Drosophila melanogaster: one gene and its partner. The gene in region 1 interacts genetically with each later gene. Each region holds a gene or a part of one and is shown in the gene's direction. Other genes may lie near its edges.

What was found. A genetic interaction does not mean that the proteins touch.
Region 2: of RpL7 (region 1) and Ilp8, changing one suppresses a phenotype caused by changing the other (phenotypic suppression), as found in Drosophila melanogaster (one study listed by BioGRID).

What each region holds. Positions count from the first base shown.
Region 1 is NT_033779.5:10,199,138-10,202,840, forward strand, and holds RpL7 (ribosomal protein L7), read left to right. Parts: upstream 1-1,866; 5' UTR 1,867-2,011; intron 2,012-2,092; coding exon 2,093-2,391; intron 2,392-2,461; coding exon 2,462-2,921; 3' UTR 2,922-3,184; downstream 3,185-3,703. Other genes in the region: Ripalpha (RPA-interacting protein alpha), read right to left, coding at 695-1,099, 1,154-1,219, 1,279-1,401. UniProt on the Drosophila melanogaster protein: Binds to G-rich structures in 28S rRNA and in mRNAs. Plays a regulatory role in the translation apparatus; inhibits cell-free translation of mRNAs.
Region 2 is NT_037436.4:17,029,257-17,033,980, reverse strand, and holds Ilp8 (Insulin-like peptide 8), read left to right. Parts: upstream 1-1,900; 5' UTR 1,901-2,083; coding exon 2,084-2,095; intron 2,096-3,073; coding exon 3,074-3,272; intron 3,273-3,696; coding exon 3,697-3,938; 3' UTR 3,939-4,169; downstream 4,170-4,724. Other genes in the region: CG7730 (uncharacterized protein), read right to left, coding at 4,390-4,724.

The sequences.
Region 1 (3,703 bases):
GCCAGCAGGAAAAACGACGAAGTGCCAGTCAGCCCGAACTCGAGAAGATATTGCACTGATCTGAATCTGAATCTGAATCTGGGGGATCGCGCACGTGCGCGATGGGAAAAAGCTCTTCCCACATCGCCGGAATCGTGGGGTGCCAGCCCACTGATACCATCGACCCATATATGATGCACTAAATCAACTCGAAGCGAACCAGAAGTTATAAGCAATTAATAAATAGTTTGTTAAACTTTACAATAAGCAGAGAAAAACGTTTTATATTCATAAATCAAACTTAGTCTCGCACCTGATTTATTTTCTTAATCTAGAATGCCACATTAGAAGAATGGTTTAGTTTGAATTTTGTAAGAGCCTAGAATACATTTTATAAATCTGTTATTCCTAAGATTTTAATTTTAATTTGTTGTGCAATTATAACAATATGCTTAAAGATCTCATTTCTAGCCATAACTCATATCATTCTTTGGATTTAGATTAATTAGGGGGGGAATATCATGTATCACTGTTTCAAAAATTTAATACGCATATAAAGCCTTCGGATCTAAAAAATCTTCTGTGCAGATCTCTGGTTTTCCAAACTGATAAGACTGTCTGAAGTTTAACTTATGTAACTTATCTTATTATAACTAATAAACTCCTTTAAACTAGCTATCAGCAGTCAGCGGTAGAAACCAGCTCCATAAACGACCTAGACGGAGGAGAAGTAGTCGCAGCTGCCGCACATGTCGTATAGTTGTCCCGAAGCGGGTTCGATGAAAAATCGCAGGGCCTGAGTGCACTGAAGTTCATGGCTGGCGATTTGTTGTTGCAGCAGTATCTGCAGCTGTTCCATGTTCGCAGAGTGCTCGAAGCGGATGCCACACTCGCAGATGAAGGCACCTTTGTGATGGCGTAGGTTTTTAATCTGACAAACTGGGCATAAAACCTCCTTTTGCTGCTCATCGGGCTCTGCGTATAGCGTTTCCAGATTCTTTTCGCCCAGGGCATACCACTCGTTGACATCGGATAGTAGCTCCTCCAGAATCAGCTCCTCAAGCTCCACATCCTTCTCTAGCTCACTGAGTTCCAGGCGCAGGATTTCCCTGAGTTCGGACTGAAAAAATGGGTGGTTTATGATGGGCTTACTATGGAGATTTGTATGTCCTACCAATTGGATTTCTCGTTGGGCATCCGTGCATCTATTGCGCGTTTCTATGATGCGCTTGCGGTATTTCTACAGGGTATTTATGTGTAAGTATATTGGTACTTTAAGGGGTACACTGATGTCTTTACCTCTCGCAGCATTTCGCGAAGTCTTGGCATTTGGTTGCCCATCCGCTGTCTTTTGGCCACTTCTTGAGCATGCCGCTTTTGCTCCACGGAGGTGCGATAAACCGGGCTTTGAGTGGAGTTCATTTCGGTTTATTTGTATATGTGGTTATTTTGTTTGTTTTTAATCTTTTTTTTTAACTAGATATGGTAGGTCAGTGTCGTCAATAAGGCAAGGTTCCAATTTTATAGCGCTGTTGGTGATTGATAGTGATCTAAAAAGTATACGGTATTCAAAATTAATTAGGTAAATTAAGTGAAATGAAGTAAATGTAAGATACGACTCATCTCCACATATATATAAAAGATTATAAAATAAGTAGTATTACTTAACACAGCCCATGAAGACAGCTCGCACAATGAATTCATGAACTAAGGGCGGCTTAAATACACTATTAACATGTTTAACCAACTTACCTAGTAATTAGCAATCGGAAATAGTTGAAAAACACAACTTTTTTGCTAAAAAAAAAAATCCGCGCAATTTGCTGTTGCTCTGCTAGTGGTGGCACTTCTTCGATAGCCCACTCCGCGGCCAGTGTGACCGTTTGGCCGATGGCGCGCGTGTCACGTGTGCACGCATTTCGCAGCACTGAAAGCAGGGTTGTACCGATTTGACAGCCCGAAGTTGGCGTATAGCACGTTTCCGGTCTTTCTTTCCCTTTCTTTTACCAGCGTGTGCAGTGACTAGTAAAAGGTTAGTGCGATATTTTCAATAAAAATACCATCCAAAGTGAAAGGAAACCGCTCAAATGCCATTGTTTTGTGCCGCCCACAGATGCCTGCTCCGGTCGTCAAGAAGCCAGCAGCGAAAAAGCTGCCCGCCGTGCCGGAATCGAAGCTGAAGTTCAGCAAGAAACAAATCTCCAAGCGAGTCGCCGAGTCGAAACGTCGCCTGAAGAAGGCCGCCGTGATTGCCCTGCGCAAGAAGGAGAACCTGGTCCGCGCCGAGAAGTACCAGAATGAGTACATCAAGGCGGAACAGCGCGAGATCAAGCTGCGTCGCTTGGCCAAGAAGCGCAACCAGTTCTACGTGCCCGCCGAGGCCAAATTGGCCTTTGTCGTCCGTATCCGCGGGTAAGTCCTCTAATGCTCCTCCATGCACAAGTCACACCAATTCATGCCCAATCCCATTAACCGCCAACAGTATCAACAAGGTGGCTCCCAAGGTCCGCAAGGTTCTGCAGCTGTTCCGTCTGAGGCAGATCAACAACGGTGTGTTCATCAAGCTGAACAAGGCCACCATCAACATGCTGCGCATCGCCGAGCCCTACATCACCTGGGGCTATCCCAATCTGAAGTCCGTGCGGGAGCTGATCTACAAGCGTGGATTCGTGAAGCATAACCGCCAGCGCGTGCCCATCACCGATAACTTCGTGATCGAGCGGAAGCTGCGTCAGGCGCACCAAATTCAGTGCGTCGAGGATCTTGTCCATGAGATCTTCACCGTGGGGCCCAACTTCAAGTACGCCTCCAACTTCCTGTGGCCCTTCAAGCTAAACACCCCCACCGGCGGCTGGCGCAAGAAGGCCAACCATTATGTCAACGGTGGTGACTTCGGCAACCGCGAGGACCAGATCAACCGTCTGCTGCGCAAGATGGTCTAAGGACTCCTTTTGATTTATGTGCTGAAACGACAACTGCAGCGGTTCGATGTAAACAGTGAGAGAAATAAAAGTTACTTTTATAAACCCACGAAATGCCGTTCAGTACAAAAACGCAGTGTTTTCGCTTCGATTCGCTGATTTAGTCATTGCGACTTAAATTGGAAAATATCAGTGAAGAGAGAGAGGACTTTTTTAAGGAACGTTTAGTTAAATGTACCAATAGTTTCATAACAACTTTAAATTTAGTAATTTTCTTTCATTTTAATGTTACATTTTTACTTTAAAGAATTCTGCGGTACTCCAGAAAGTCTTGCCCTTTGCTAAGATTAACCCCACGTTCAGTATAATTTTTTGGTTTGCTAATCGTTAATAATTCGATGTATAGCAATATTTAAATTTAAAATTTAGACAGTTTGCTTTTGTAGGCCCATTATTTGAAATGAAAACACAGGATTCTTGTTAATTTGTCTACGCTCTAGATTGTTTATTGTTGTTCTGGTCAAATTTTAAGCGCGCTTAGTGCACAACACTTAAATGCAGATAGCAAGCTAGATTCAGGGTGCCAGGGATAAAAATCGTTTGCCAATGTACACTTTATTGAATCATGGTTTGCCTTTCAGCTGGCAGTGGATTTAAATCGTTTTTTTTTTTTTTACACACACAATAGTCCAAAGCAGTTAGCAAACAAACATAAATTGTAAATTCCAATAGCATGGAAATTAGTCAATAATCGGGAGGAAGCTGGCACCCTTTTTAAATGTATAATTTAATTAATCGTTACC
Region 2 (4,724 bases), on another chromosome or scaffold:
TTACCGTTATGCGTTGCCGATCGGATCGACGAGCGCGAGAATGCACATTCCGAAGGATACGTGCGAAATGCGGGAGAAAATGCAACTGCGCAGCAGCATTGCGCATACGCCACGAGGGCCGGCTAACATTTCCGCATGCGGGAATGCAACGAAAGCGAAAAGCAAGTGGCAAAAAAAAAGAAAACAGCATAACCAAAACGAATGTGGAAACGAAACCGAAACCAAATCCGAACCGAATCGGAATCGGAATCAGAAACGTAACAATCTGAACCCATAAAAAGTCGGCCGAAAGTGTGCATTGACCGAGAGAGCGGCTAAAAATATCCGAAAAAGAACGTAACACAAACGATCTGATAAAATAAGAACGCACGATGATGACGCCCGATCCAGAACAACCGTTAAGTGCTCCACCCCAAATGATGCTGCAACAGGGTGAGCGAAAGAGAGGGCGAGCCCGATACCGAAAGAGACAGAGGCAGAGCCGAACAGAAACGACAGTGAAAGTTCTACACTTTCGCTTTTTCACAGAACCCTGCTATCATACGAAAAGCAGCAATCGTAGAGATAGAAACCTTTGGAAATACAATACATAGTACATCAGCAAATGTGCGGTAACTTTATATATTATTTCTATATAAATCTGAATGTTTAACAACAATTTCGCTGGCCTTCCATTTTTTATTCACAACATAATACAATTTTTTTTTTTTAATGAATTCATTTTTTTAGACTTTGAACGAAATGCCCCCTATATGAACATTAAACTTTACTGTTTATTGGTTTCTGCAACCAGTTTTTTAAGAATGTTATGTTATCATTTAATTTCAGGTTGAATAAAACACCATGAGGTCCATTGGAATATTATTCAATGCAAAAATTTCTTAAGCTTTCAAATGTCTTAGCTTTCCATTGCTCAACGAACCTGTCATTCTAGACTCTTTACTTATAGTAAACAGTAGTACTTTGCCACTGAAAAAGATGGTAAAGGCATTTGGATCATTTTTTAGCATGCTAAATGATGAGTGAGTCTGGTACAAAGTATGATTTAACAAATGATTACCGCATTAAAGCTAATCACTGTTGTTTTTCTCGACTTTCAATGGGAAACGCCAGTCAACAATTTCAATTTTACAGTTCTTCAAATTCTACACACAATATTTGAATGGTTTTATGGGTCTGTTCAACTTGTTTATGGATCCACATAAATAAGCAATCATATTAGAGAAGCATGCACGGCTATCAAGAAGTGCGTTGCCCTGGTTGGAAAAGCCCCGGCAACAAGGTCCAAGTTTTCACTTTCACTGCCACCATCGGCCGTCAAATCACCAGTAGCTATTACTACCTTATTACATTGCCAAGGTGCGCTGATAAGAGTGTTTTTAGACTGTTCCAGCTAACAGTATTCGCCTCGGCTTTATCAAGAGCAGCAGCAAGTCCAGCAGCATGTGACTGTGACTCAGTGAGTCCGCCGAGTCCATTTATGTTGAAATTCGTTTAAGATCGAAACGGCGGCGCCATGAAACTATAAATGCCAACTCTTCTGGTCTGACGTCCGTTCCGAGGCCCATTGATAAAAAAAAATGTATATTTCTGAATGCTCGGCGCGCCCTGCCGCTTACGCAAAACTCCTGCGAGCGGATCCCGATCCCCAAAAAGCCGAGACCGAACCCCATAACCCATACCCCATACTCCATACCCGAAACCGAAACCGAAGAATTACAAATCCCGAAATCTGCTCTCTCTCTCTCTCTCTCTCTCACCCCCATCGCCCATTCCCATTGAAAAGTGAAGAGCGGCTGTCTGAGCGGCAAACTGAGCCGATCCGAAGCGCCGATCCTCGATTTTTGAGGCGCGTATAAAAGCTTGGCTACGTCGGCAACGAAAGCTCATTGTGCGCTCGCCGCTCGTGATTATCAGGTAACGTCGATCGGACGGACGGGTTAACCATTCAGCAAGTTAGCTCTGCAGCAAGTTTGCCCGCCAAAAGAAAACACGTATACGTAGTGTTGCAGCCAGAAAGGTGATCGACGTGCCTACTGATCTATTGATCTATTGAGAATTGTGATCCTAGAACGCCACTAAAATGAGTTCAAAGGTGAGTTCGAGTTGAAGTTAAACTCTTATTTTTGTTTTTTAACTATTACACTAGCATAACTAATTCGTGTAGCTCTTTAGCATTATAGTTGGTTAGTTGCTCAGCACCAAAGCATTAAACATCAAACATTCAGTTCTCAGAATGATTTCATACACCAAATTATGCATTCCTTGAAATCATTGTACTGAACTTAAACATTTCCAGTACAAGGTGGACTTTTCCAAATTGAGTCCAGAAATTTTCCAAACAAATAACTGTCTTCTAAGAACACTCCACTTTAATTACTTAAATTAGCTTCGCGCCACAAAAAAAGTGGGTGTGTGCAATTAACAGGCTGTCAGCTAAAAATATCAATATCCAATATAAACAAATGCGCTTTTGTTCTCCGCGGGCAAGAGCATAATGCCCGCATCGATTCCGAATCGGATTCATATGGCGGACTGGAGTGCTAAACAGACTGGAGTGTCACCGCAAGGTGCGATATACGAAATGCGAAATGCAAAATGCGGAAATGCCTACCTGCGGGGCGCATTACATAATTTCCACTTCAGCTCCAGATCGCCGTAATGTCGGGGAAGTTTCGGTCATTAAAAGCGGCAATTAAAATTCACCATTTGGCCGCGTCGACTTGCAAATGCGCTCCAGTTTATGTTTCGATCTTGATGCGATATTGACCCAGTTAATGGGCGGCATACTCCGGTGCGTGGGAGTCGGCGACGTCATCCAGACATCCCGGCATCCCGACACCCGGCTGTCGTCATCCGAAGTGGTTAATCCAGATGTGTCCAGAGCGGCGATCCAGATTCACATTGAAATGCCAAAGCAGGGCAGAGTGCAGCCGGTTAGAGGATCGTTGTAACACTTATGCGATAAATTCTGAACGTCAGCGATTTATAATTAGGAGCCGGAGGCCGGTTGGGTGTTTAATTTGGAATATACTCATACTCACTTGTTGTTTCGCCCGCTCCTCCATTGCAGTTGCATATGTGCCGCTGGATGCTGCTGGTCATCGGAGTCTGTTGCCTGATGGGCAGCTCGTCGGGCAGCTTCTGCTCCCTGGAGCGGATGAAGAAGTTCGCGATGGAGGCGTGCGAGCACCTCTTTCAGGCGGACGAGGGTGCCCGCCGCGACAGAAGGTCCATCGAGTTCGCGCACCACCATCTGAATCGACTTGGATGTAAGTATCTAGATCTAGATCTTAGATTTTAGAGCATAGTGTGGCACTAGGAAAAAAAATGTTTAAAAATATTTCGGATAAATTTAAAGATCAAATTATTATAATGCTTCGTTATGACTTTACCATTTTTAAATTTTGTTTCCAACTATAATACTTACGTTTTAAAATCTCAATTAAACAATATCCACTGAACATCGATAAGGAAAAGATTAAAATATTGGATTAGCGAGCTAATAAGGTCAGAGTGTCAGTCAACCCGACAATTGCATTCGGAACTGCATATCGAAAACACGTTTTTTTTTAAGTGTGTAGATTGCAATTAATACGGCATTTGCATAAAGCAGTTCCGATGCAAAAGTTAACCGACTTCAAGGCGCAGGTTCAAGATCAATTTGCTCACTGGCAACGTTTTCCCCCTTTTCAGCCGGCAAAACGCACAACAAGCATCACTACATCAGCCGAAGCAGCTATCCAATGGGTGGCTACCTGAAGGTGACCCGGGAGCACTTCAATCGCCTCAGCGAACTGGACATCTTTCCGCGCTACAAGCCCATCAAGCCGCACCACGAAAAGAAGCATCGCTTCAAGAGGGATCACTCGAGCAGGTCCTACAACAACATTCCCTACTGCTGTCTAAACCAGTGCGAGGAGGAGTTCTTCTGCTAAGAGAGCTCCAGTGTCATGCTCCATGCCCCACGCTCCAAGTCGGTGCCATCTGGTCAGAATCTTCTGAATCCGTCCATAGTTATAGTTAGGCTATTCATGTACATTCTACAAGTCGCGCTCACTCTTATAGAGTACCTTATTTGTGCCCACTCCCAGGGACACAGATCCATTTACAGTATTTATACACTTAGATCGATTTTGAATAAACAATCGAATACGGCAACTGATCGGAATTAAAGTGTTTTTTATAAAAATTGGTGGACAGTTAAAACTAAACAAACATTCAGAGAATTTAACAGCATATTAGGTTTAGAAGACGCATATAAAGGCTTAAAAGATTATTACAATCCTAGTACAAATGAGTCACGATGGCTAACAAATCTTTGTTGTATCACAATCTATTAATCACTAAATCACTTAATAAACCGACAGCTCGAACCATGGAATCAGCTTATATGGAACTAATATAGTAGGCGCCTTTGCAAACGTTGCATTTGTACTTGCGGCAGTTTTGTTCGCCAACTGGCTCCAGTGATCGAAAGTACTTGGATACCACCATCAAAATATCCTCACGTTGTCTCTGAAGGAAATCTTCGCCGAAGTCATCAAAGGTTTTAACGCAATGCATTAGAATGCGATAGAGGACCGCTTCAGTTGATACGAACGTATTCAGCGAGCGATCAATGTAATCCACGTTCTCCTCTACGAATGTGCGGGTCATCTGCATTAGAAGCTGTACAGCCTGATCGCTGAAGTATCTGGCCATGGCCTCCAAAACGTCCGTAA